3 linked regions of the Xenopus tropicalis genome follow. The protein of the gene in region 1 purifies or fractionates together with the protein of each later gene. This does not show direct contact. Links are inferred from orthologs where the notes say so. Each region holds a gene or a part of one and is shown on either strand. Other genes may lie near its edges. The genes, in order: pnkp, lig3 and xrcc4.

What was found.
Region 2: the proteins of pnkp (region 1) and lig3 purify together in Homo sapiens (co-immunoprecipitation; 5 studies listed by BioGRID and IntAct, with this or other methods). This does not show direct contact. The link is inferred for Xenopus tropicalis from reciprocal best matches to the Homo sapiens genes PNKP and LIG3.
Region 3: the proteins of pnkp (region 1) and xrcc4 purify together in Homo sapiens (co-immunoprecipitation; 5 studies listed by BioGRID and IntAct, counting the BioPlex papers as one, with this or other methods). This does not show direct contact. The link is inferred for Xenopus tropicalis from reciprocal best matches to the Homo sapiens genes PNKP and XRCC4.

Annotation. Positions count from the first base shown.
Region 1 is NC_030683.2:117,562,364-117,566,016, forward strand, and holds part of pnkp (bifunctional polynucleotide phosphatase/kinase), read right to left. Parts: intron 3,589-3,653; coding exon 3,481-3,588; intron 3,171-3,480; coding exon 3,099-3,170; intron 2,626-3,098; coding exon 2,577-2,625; intron 2,493-2,576; coding exon 2,422-2,492; intron 1,055-2,421; coding exon 962-1,054; intron 1-961. UniProt on the Homo sapiens protein: Plays a key role in the repair of DNA damage, functioning as part of both the non-homologous end-joining (NHEJ) and base excision repair (BER) pathways.
Region 2 is NC_030686.2:27,256,380-27,260,767, forward strand, and holds the start of lig3 (DNA ligase 3), read right to left. Parts: upstream 2,848-4,388; 5' UTR 2,815-2,847; intron 2,500-2,814; 5' UTR 2,493-2,499; coding exon 2,042-2,492; intron 645-2,041; coding exon 510-644; intron 153-509; coding exon 1-152. UniProt on the Homo sapiens protein: Isoform 3 functions as a heterodimer with DNA-repair protein XRCC1 in the nucleus and can correct defective DNA strand-break repair and sister chromatid exchange following treatment with ionizing radiation and alkylating agents.
Region 3 is NC_030677.2:181,163,042-181,166,694, forward strand, and holds part of xrcc4 (DNA repair protein XRCC4), read right to left. Parts: intron 3,415-3,653; coding exon 3,248-3,414; intron 2,575-3,247; coding exon 2,431-2,574; intron 1,384-2,430; coding exon 1,274-1,383; intron 1-1,273.

The sequences.
Region 1 (3,653 bases):
AAACACTCTTGATTTGTAAAAATGCTTAACTGTAACTGAGCGGGTTTTATTAAACTGGATGCAAATCTGTGTGTCACGGTAATAATGCTGGGATTGTGGGAAAAACACAGCATTATAGGAAAACAACAAGGTGAATTGCACACTGCGGCTGCGTTCGTAAATGACAACTATGGTGTTTTCTCCTCAAATCTCACCTGTGTCTGAAACCATTAACTTCAACAGTAGCTGTCTGTCACTGTACACAAGGCAGATTTTGGCCCAAAAAAGTGAATTTTCTTTCCAAAATCTGCCTGTGTTCACAGTCCCTAACAGATTACACTGCTGTAATTACAATACTCAGGTTGGCCAGTAGGGGGGTGAGCGGTCATTTTCTTTGTGGGTGAAGAAATGTGCAACATAAGCCTTGTGGCCATACACGCACCGATATTATCGTACGAAACCTCGTTTCGTACGATAATCGGTGCGTGTATGGTATGTCGGCGAGTCGACCGATATCGCAGGAAGCTGCTGATATCGGCCGACTCGCCGATCGGACCAGTTGGAAAATTTTGATCGGGCGCCATAGAAGGCGCCTGACCAAAATTCTCCCTTCAGATCTGAATCGGCAGAAGGAGGTAGAAATCCTATTGTTTCTACCTCCTTACCTCCTCCTCCAGCCCTGAATGGTGTGTGGCGGATCTTACGATGTTTCGTGCGACCGATGGTCGTACGAAACATCGTCAGATCGCCACGTGTATGGCCACCTTTAATTACATCCCTTCTATCCACCAATATCTCTAAGCACCTGCATGTGAGGTGGTGCCCTAGAATGGGGCCCCTTTCATGCCTTAGTCTTGGTGAGTCTGTAGCCTGTAAACCCCCCAAATGTTATGCCCTGGTATGAATAAAATAATCAAAAAGGTTACAAAAGTTGGAAATGTGTATTTAGGATTAGTGTTCTTTTATCACACATTGCACTTACCGGATCGAAGACAGGGAAATTAAAGGCAGCTTTTTTCCATCCAAGGAAAAACTCCTCTGGTGTGAAGAACTTTATGCCAATATTTAGAGCAAACTTTAAACAAAGCGAGATAAAAAAAACAAAACACAATTAGTGTGTGCTGGGCATTTAAGGTGCTTGTGTGCACCCATCAGTGCCAGGTAAATTCATCCAAAGACTCATAGGAACACAGTACAGGTTACCATGAAGGTGGCACACCAGTCCCATGACTAAGGTACAATGATTACCTTTGGTGGTATTTTTAGTTGCCCTTAAGTTTAGAATGAAGACACACTCCCTGGAATATTAGACATGCTTAGTAGCTCAGTCTACTGTCTAGGGACTAATCAATGTACAACCCAGAGCCACAAAGCATGTCGACGGCCAATGTGCACAGGAAAAGGGATTACTAAATAAAGAAAGATATGGTGGTTTGGGGTCTAACCTGCAGGCATGGATCCTTACTGTCATAGTGCTGCTGTACCTCTGAAAAAATACAACAAGCCCAAGCACAGGGTCCGCCATTATATCCTTATATATTAGGAACAGACTTATGGACAACCTTCATCCAGGATCTAATAGGGCAGAACGTGGTTAAGTTACATCCATGTGAATCAAGAAACATGAATGTTGACAATAAAAAGTGAGTGCTCATCATGATGGAAAATGAACAAAATGTTAATTAAACTAGAATTCTGTTTATCAGTTATTTTTTGTGGATGATTTGGAATAACTGGGAAATGATGTATCTGGTTCATCCTTAGCCAAAGCACTTAGTCCTGCAGAGTACAGCCTGTATGAAATAGAAGTGTGGTACATAAAGTATGTGCAGCCTTCAGTGTGAGCATACATGGCCACGTGCACATGTATTAGTATGACAACATACCCCCATAAGACTTTCAGCGGGCTTTATTAATGTGCAAAATGAGCACAAATGAGCCGAAATGTACAGAGTGCAATCACTTTACAGATCTTTCTTCTTTTCTACATTTAAAAGGAAAAAGAGCTTAGGAGGTTTTGAAAGAATGAGGTGGGTGGGGCAGCTAAAACACACAACGGGGGTCATTTATAAACACTGGGCAAATTAGCACCTGTACAGTAAACTGTGGCAATCAGAAGTTTGCTTTCATTGTTCTACCTGCAGCTATCTGGAATAATCAAATCACATATTGGTTGCAAAGAGTTACTGCCGAGGTGCAAATTTGCCCAGTGTTTATAAATGAGCCCCAATGTTTAAAAGACTTTATGAAAAACATATTTTCTCATTAAACAATTATTTATGTTCTACTATTACTTCAGCTGAGGCAACCAGTATAGTAGCATACACTCACATGGCAAAATGCAAGAAATGTCCTATTTCCCCTTTAATCTCTACCCTAGAGCTACGCTCTAGGCAAATTAGAAATGTATAATGAAGGAATAATTTTACAATTTCTGCCTACCAGCCGGTCACTGCAAGAAAAGTCCTTCTTCTTACGATCAGGGGCCCAATTAGCCGGCCGGCCGGCAGCATCTGCAGGTACAAGCACAGAAGACAAGGCATTATATAATGTTACCATGCATATGATGACTGACAGATGTGTTTTAAATGAATTACCTCCTACATAGAGGCAGTCTTCCTTCTTTACTTCAATCCCATCATTGGCCTGGGGAGGAAAGAAAGCTCATTCAAAGTGATTACTGATGCTAATTGCTCCACTCTGATACAGTTTATGTGTAAAGCCACTTTGATGTAATGTACTGTAAACAAGCAATATGTCAATAGTATACAAACAGTCTAAATATTCATGGAAAATACCATCTCTCTGGGCAGAGGAAAAGCCAATCTTAATGGCAGCCTTCTGGGGGAGAGGAAGGATCTATGGTGGGGCTATATGTAGTGTAGCCAGTATAGCGGCACTGGGGCTCAGAACTTTTAGCAAGCCCATGAAGTCCAACTGTAGGTAGGTTACTGGATTCTCTGACTAACTAAAGGGAGTACCAACTATTCTCTTACACTGAGCAGTTCTGTTCTGCCATGGGAAAGAATCTATAACTCACTAACACATCACTGTGCGTTAGTAATCAGTTTGACAATATTTTTTCTAAAAGCTGTGATGTTTTACTGTAAAGCTCTTACCTTGTTACAGAGATGGTCCCACATTCCAGTCACAGGTTTGCGGTAGATTCCCATACCAGTAGCCACAAAGACCTGTGATCAATTAAAATGAATGTGTGATTACTGATATATATAACATCAGTACCCTCTACCAGCACCCACAGTTTATTTTTAACCCTCACAGTTCCTACACAGATATAAAAAGATCATTTACCATTAATATGGAATAGGAACTTTGGACAGTCATAGAAATTATAATTAGTGTAAATATAAGCAGTTAATGTAAGCATAATGCCAACAGCAGTGTTAGAGGTGTAGTTATCAAGGCACTGTACAGGCATTATCGCTTTATTTGACAACTAAGTGCTTTTTTTATTGGTCCTACACAACAATGCACACAGACCTGCACAGGAATCCCCAAATGATCCAAAATGGCTTCCACTTTTGCTTTGAAAACTTCAGGCTTCAGCTTGCCACGGCTGATTCCCATCTGATTTGTGATGAAAATCACCTGGCACAAAGAAGTATATTAATAGCAATTGTCAAGCAATGTGGCAGCAGTCAAGAGCTGGGATG
Region 2 (4,388 bases), on another chromosome or scaffold:
TTTGCTGTTGTAGCTTGGCTGTTCCGCAACCATTGCACATAGCTTGCGGAACTCACGCAGAAGACAGTCCTTATGTTTTGGGTCACACTTTGCAGTTGAAAGACTGGAGCCAGTGCTTGAGCTTGGTGGGCTTGATGATTGACTGGGTTTTGCTGTTAAAAAAAGGCACTACAATTAATTCCAAGATGTCCAAGGCAAATGATGAACAAAAACAATACAATATATTACATTAATATTAGTTTGCTGGGAATATCAGATTTAAAAACCACACACAACTTAACCCATTTTATAACCGCAAAAACAAGTTATAAAATAATGATTGCAGAAAGAAAGAAAAGAATACAAAGCATATAAAACAAAGAAAATAATGTTTACATGTATATCTATTTGGTGCTACCAGAAATGTCAGTAACTATTGGCTGGGAGAGGAGTGGTGAGTTAGTTATGATTAATAATGGTGTGATTCCGATTAGTATCACAATTTTACTGTGCTAGAAATAAAGCATTACCAGAGAAACCTGAAAATTTTAGAGAGGGACTAGCTGCTGGTGCTGTAGTGGAAGTTGTTCCTTGTACTGCCGGTGATTGTTTTTCCTTGGACGGAGTCTTTTTTCGAGGTGTAGCTGCTGTTTTTGTAGCAAGTTCTGTAAACAAAGGAAAGTCATATTAGTAGCGTGTGTACTAGCTGTGCAATAACATAAGAACTTATTTGGAACAGTTACTTTTGGAACTCAAAAGCTAGTTTCATCAAGGCCTTAGGTCATGATGTACAAGCCTTCTACCAATCTGAACATAGGATATTACCTATAAGGTTTTCAACAGATGCATTCAGCTCACCTACAACTAAGTGCTTTACCTATGGTTGATCAACACAGGGTTGCTGTAGCATGAACACATGCTTCAGACTCAGCTACTATTGCCAACTTTTGTGCTCCCTGCCCACTGTTCTGCTGATAGGCTGCTGGGAGGGGGGTGATATCACTTCAATTTGCAGCTCAGCAGTAAAGTGGTGACTGAAGTTTATCAGAACACAGGTCAAATGGCTGTGGCACCCTGGAAAATGAAGAATATGGCTAGCCCCATGCTAAATTTCAAAATTAAATATAAAAAAAAAAAAAAAAAAAAATCTGTTTTCGGTTTTGAAAAACAGATTTCAATGCAGGATTCTACCGGAGAAGCTCTATTAACTGATGTGTTTTGGAAAAAAAAGCATGTTTTCCCCATGACAGTATTCCTTTAAAGTACATGTAAAGCCTACTTTTGCCTAGAATGTATATCAGTTGGGCATGTCTCCCCCACTCAAATGGCATCATCTGTACTGCATATATCACCTACATTTGCTAGCACCATCACATTTTCCTAAAGCAAATAGCAACTTTCACCCGGTGGAATTTTTTCCTCTGATACATTTTAATCTGCAAACAGCATACACACATACACACACACAGACCCTTATTCAGAACACATTTCATCAAGAATACGGGCTCACACAGGCACAACTGCCTGATACAAGTTCTGCTTTGTTTGAGCTGAGTTCAGGAGAGTTGGTTGGGAGAACAAAATTGAAGCAGACAGCTAGAGCGGAGTTTCTATGGGAACCAGCAATGCCATCTCTTCACTGGCTGCTAGACTGGAGGGCATGTTTAGTAATCTGAGCTTTTAACAACGGAGCATACCCACAAGCCAGAAGTCAAAGCAAATTTCTGAGGGAGGGGGCCGAGTGGGTTACAGGAGGAGAAGGAAATCTAAGGGGATGCTGCAGCCTTATTATTAACCTCTGGACAACTAGTGTGGCAGGTATTTAAAGATTGAAAGAGGCTGTTCACTGATTAAAATTGTGTGTGTGGGGTTTACATGTCCTTTAAGATATAACGGAACGTGGCTTAGAATTACATCTTTTATTATGGAAAGCAAATTATTTTTGGCTGGACATCTGCTGTAGAGCACTGTTGGACATTTTAGATTTTTATTGCGAACTTAATATAAAATGGTTACAAAATCAATTGTAAGCCAGACAAACAGTATGCAAGTAGAGGTTTACCAGTGACATGCTGGCTGATTAGGTTTTTATCACAGTCTTGAAGTTCCTGCCAACCTTCCAGTTCTGTCAGATCATCAATTTTTTTTGTAGTTGCCCGCGCTCTCTCCAGTTTCTCAAACATGCACTTGATGTGGTACCACTCCTTCATGTCCCCAGCAGACTCGCTAAAAGGGTTTGGCACTATTTTACCTATGCGTACCAAACCCTTTCCAATCTTCTCCTTGCATTTCTTGCAACCAGCAGTCCCACGTTTTGCATATTCCACACAGTATCGCTGTTCCGCCATGTTGGAGAAATGTGTAACTCTTAAAAAGAATTGGAAGTGCAAAGCACTGTGGAGAGGCGACTGGCTCCAACAGGCATGAAAAATAACTCGTAAAGGAACTTTTGTTAAGGACTGGCCAAGTGTCCTTTTGGTCTGATATGCCAGAAGTCTAAGAAATGCCCTCATAGACCACCTAGTTTAAAAGATAAAATATTTTAGAGACAGATTTTAGGCAGCAGTTTGAAAGTGAAATCATTGCAAGGGGCAGTACAGGTATCGGACCCCTTATCCGGAAACCCATTATCCAGAATTACGAAAAGGTCATCTCCCATAGACTCCATTTTAATCAAATAATTCACATTTTTACTTAAGGTAGGAGATCCGAATTAAGGAAAGACCCTTTATCCGGAAAACCCCAGGTCCCGAGCATTCTGGATAACATGTCCCATACCTGTATACCCACTTGTGGAATATAAGTTCAGTTACAAGGACTGGTGAATATACTTGCCTATTGCTCTAATAATGAAAAATCTGTTTTCTTGTTGCTTCTTGACCTAAACAGGAAAGTAAAGGAAATAGACAGTCCATATTACTACACGTGAAGGAATAAGACAGTACATATAACCAATAGCAGCAACATTGACATGTATTCAGCAAATCAACCTGTTACTATAACACAGACAAACAAATTAAAAAGCCCGTTGACATCTGAAAATGGTTTTATTTTCACTAGACCATTAGAGAAACATGGATTGGGAGTTGGATAACAGACAATATATAATAGTAAGAAAATGTACCTTAATTCCACAAAATATCTTGGATCCTTAAAGGAGAAGGAAAGTCATTTTGGCATTTTACTGCCAATAGATTTGCCACATTAGTGCCACCTATAACAATATATTTATTCTGCAGAAAACATTACCATACCTGAGTAAACAGCTTTAGAAGCTTTCTCTGTTTGCTTAAGATAGCAGCTGCCATTTTAAGTAGCTTCCTGCCTGCAGTCTCTAGCAGTTATAGCTCAGATCACACATTCCTAAGGGAGGGGGGGAGGGAGTTCTTAGCATTCTGGTGGGAGGAGGAGCAAGAGAGGGGAGAGAGTTGCGCAGACTCTGGTCAGGGGAATTAAGGATGTTTCTGAGAGAGAAAGTCAGACACTGGAACATCATGCTTACAAAATAAAAAAGAGACAAAAAAATCCTGTGTTTCTTTTGATAGAGGACTCAGTGCAGCATTACTGTGAGTGCTTATGGCTGTATTTATGGTTGGCTTACTTAGTTTTTACCTTTCCTTCTCCTTTAAGTAAACCCTAACCCATTTAGGATCCTGCTAAAAAACCATATAGGATAATAAAGAAAATGTAAACAACTTTCCCATAAATTATCGAATAACTGCAAATCCCCTGAAAACGTATAGAGGAAACTGGCTTAGAATTACATTGCCTCTCATTATGCAAAAACAGTTTTCAGATGGCGATCCCCTATAACGGTGACCCCCAACAAGTGGCTTGGGAGGCGAGTTTGGACGCAGAGAGACCGTTTTACTCAAAATATGGGGCCACCAAATAGCCACGTCACAGCCCTAAAGCTGGCCATACACGTGGCGATCTGACGATGTTTCGTGTGACCATCAGTCGCACGAAACATCGTCAGATCCGCCACACACCATTCAGGGCTGAATTGGCAGGTAAGGAGGTAGAAACAATAGGATTTCTACCTCCTTCTGCCGATTCAGCGCTGAAGGGAGATTTTGGTCAGGCGCCTTATCAAAATTTTCAAACTGGTCTGATCGGCGAGTCGGCCGATATCAGCAGCTTCCTGCGATATCGGTCGCCTCGCCGACTTGCCATACACGCACCGAATATCGTACGAAACGAGGTTTCATACGATATTATCGGTGCGTGTATGGCCAGCTTTATTTAGGATCCTAAAAGAACTTTTTTCCTACGTCTGTGCCTTATGAACACAAGTGTGGCTCAAAGTAAAAACGCTTGGGGATCCCTTCCCAATATGTAGTGCCTCTTTATCTCTTGTTTAGGCAACTGGTTGTTTTGTATGTGAATCAGTGCATTCAATGCAAACA
Region 3 (3,653 bases), on another chromosome or scaffold:
TGCTGCAGCAGGACAATGACCCAAAACACACCAGCAAATCCACCTCTGAATGGCTGAAGAAAAACAAAATGAAGACTTTGGAGTGGCCTAGTCAAAGTCCTGACCTGAATCCTATTGAGATGTTGTGGCATGACCTTAAAAAGGCGGTTCATGCTAGAAAACCCTCAAATAAAGCTGAATTACAACAATTCTGCAAAGATCAGTGGGCCAAAATTCCTCCAGAGCGCTGTAAAAGACTCGTTCCAAGTTATCGCAAACGCTTGATTGCAGTTATTGCTGCTTAGGGTGGCCCAACCAGTTATTAGGTTCAGGGGGCAATTACTTTTTCACACAGGGCCATGTAGGTTTGGATTTTTTTTCTCCCTAAATAATAAAAACCCTAATTTAAAAACTGCATTTTGTGTTTACTTGTGTTATCTTTGACTAATAGTTAAATGTGTTTGATGATCAGAAACATTTTGTGTGACAAACATGCAAAAGAATAAGAAATCAGGAAGGGGGCAAATAGTTTTTCACACCACTGTATATACAGTTACTTCCAGGTACGGAAGTGATGTTTCCAGTGATATAACTTGTGCCCAAAACATCAGCTTCTATTGTGTCTTTATCCAGGTCTACTACACATACACATGCTTACAGGATATATTTTCCTCTGAAGTTTATAGCAAAAAGTATGGTGTAGTAGTAGTGGTGTTCTAAGACAATTGCAAAGGATCTACAAATTTTTAACAAAACATGAGGATCAACTGCAAAATTGCTTAAATGTATTTTATGTAGAACATAATGTATTAAAAGCTAAAATGCTGGGTAATGCCAAATTGAATTGAAAAATTAAATATTTTGGGTCAAATAGTATCAGAATCAGGATTGGTGAATGTAGCAATGAAATCTGAGCTGTCAGTGTAGACAGAGGAGTAGGGATGGTTAGTCCTACAAATAAGCAGAAAAGGTATCGCTGATCTATCTAAAAGGACTAAACCTGTCATTGCAAGTGCTATTTTTACTATTTCTTTATAAGAACCTACTACACATAAAATGTTAGTTTACATTTGTGTCAGCCTATTTTGTTCATGTTTTTTTTCCAACATATTGGCACAGCAGATAAAGCAAATCAGCACTTTTAGGTACCACTTTTGTTTTATGATTAATGAAATAAGGTTTAACTTAAAAATATTCCCAGCCTTTACTTTGCTACAGACTTATTTTTGTACAATAAGATAATTAAAGGAGAAATAGGCAGTTACACTATATATGGCTGTTGTGAATTTCTTACCAGTCTTAGAGGCAACTGCAGGGCTTTCCTGCTCCTCATCAGTTGAGCCAGCAAAGGCATCATACTTCATTTCCTTGGCCACAAGAGTATCATCAGGAGCAGTTTCTTCACTGTGTTGGAAAAATAGTATGAGTGACGCTATAGAATTACAATAACAGTACTACTGTGCCACAAATGAACCTTTATAGAGTAAAACTAACCAGTTAACTTTCATGAGCTGCATAAAACCATCCATCATTTTCATCTTTATTGTTGCTAGGAAATGTATTATTTACTATTATTATTTTAAATATAATTATTGAAGTCTTGTCATAAACCGGAAAAAAGTGCAGTATGCTACATGACAAGCATTTCAGGTTCTTTACAATATGAAAGCAATGGATCCACTATAATCATCCCCAAAAATGATTTGTTGCTAAATTGCTCTTGATATAACACTTGCTCTTCAAACGACAATGTTGTTCATCGCTTTACTTTACTTGCATTATTTGTTTCTGACTTTGTTCACACTTTCTTTCTATATCCTTTTTCCCTTGAATTTAAAGTGAATTTTTAACGTTTTCCTTTTTTCTCTTAAGACCACAACTAGCTGAGGATTCTGCTTACTTTCTCATTATTTCATATTATGATTTTTCATAACTTTTTGACTTATTTTTCTCTGATAAAGACCTTTACAGTAGCATTATGCTCTTTCTTTTTTGCCGCTACAGGAATCGGACCTGTTATCCAGAATGCTTGGGACAGGATACAGGGTCTTTCCATCATTTGAATTTCTATACTTTAAGTCTACTAAGAAATAAATAATTTAAATATTAATTTAAACCCAAAAGAACGGTTTTGCCTCCAAAAAGGATTAATTATAAGTACAAGATACTGTTTTATTATTACAGAGAAAAGGAAATAATTTTTTAAATTTTCAGTTATTTGATTAAAATGGAGTCTATGGGAGATGGCCTTCCTGTAATTCGGAGTTTTCTGGATAATGAGTTTTCTGTATAACAGATCCTATACATATACAAAACAATAACTTGAAAAAGTGCTAGAACAGATAGAAACATACAATGCATGGAAATATGACAGCAATCATTTGCCCCTAAATGGATAGTACTGCCAATACAATTTTAAATGAAGCCAGAGTAAGAAATGTGCTAATATACCTTTTTTGTTTGAGTCTTTCTTGTGATTCTAATAGTTTTTCCTTCAGGCTTCTGATTTTAGCTTTTTTCTCATTAAGAACACAGGTAAATCGAGTATAAAGGTCTCGCTCCAGTTCTTCTTTGCCATTCACAAACTTTTCCAGCCTGAAATCATACATTTTAATATAGATTTAAACTATTGATGAAAAAGTTTAACATTTCCTGAAAATTTCCTGAAAAGCAGCGCTAGGCCGGGGAATAAACTAACATATTGGCAGCCCCAGTAGATTCCTTTACTTTAGCTCAATAAAGTTGAGAAAAAAAGCTGCACTGTTAAAAAGCATATGGGTCTAAGACATTATGGGTAAAAAAAATGATGGTTCATTCAGTTTGTTTTTCCCCGCAATGCAGTATTTTCCCCATAATTCCAGACTTATCATATCTGTGAAATGGAGATGCACCTTGTTGCAATTGTGACAAGATATAAAAACATATAATTTGACAAGAACAGGGTAAAATTGCACAGAAAAAGTCCATGTTGTTACTGTCACTTGGTGTTAAAATGACAATTCTTTAGGAGCAAATCTGTTGTGCAGGCAACTGTGGGTACCTTGGAGCTACTGCTAACGTTACAGGTGGCGGTAGCTCCAGGGTTCCCCTGCGCACATATGGAAGTGCAGCTTTGGATGCAAGAATGTTTAGTGTGCAATGACTGCAGCAAACTTTGCTAACATTTTTTAGCGCTTAAATTGTACATAACCTCAGTAGTGTTTAACTACTGAGGTTACCAGATTGCAGTCAGCAAAATAGACTTTCCTCTCCCTTAGCGAAAACTTACTGCGCGTGCATGTCATTCCAGTCACACTGAAGCCTTTCATTTTCCTTCTGCAGGTGTTCATTTCTGCTATATAATTCAGAGGTGCAGTCCAGGCAATAGTTTATCAACTCTCTGATGACATGTGCCGGGTTCTGGACATTTTTTAGTTTAGTTGATCCAAGCTTAAACTGCAAAAAAAAAAAAAAAAAGTAATGAGACAAACTTAAAACTGTGAGAAGATGTAGCAAGCACAGCAGCACTCTGTGGGGGGGGGGGGGGGGGGGGATGGGGGGGGATGTAAATCTGTACAGTAATGTGGATTTTACCATTCACTAAATTGTAAACAGAAACACACCTGCATCTCAGTTAATGCCACTGAGAATTCACTTCATAATATAGTCACAAACTTTGTACCATAGAATTCAGG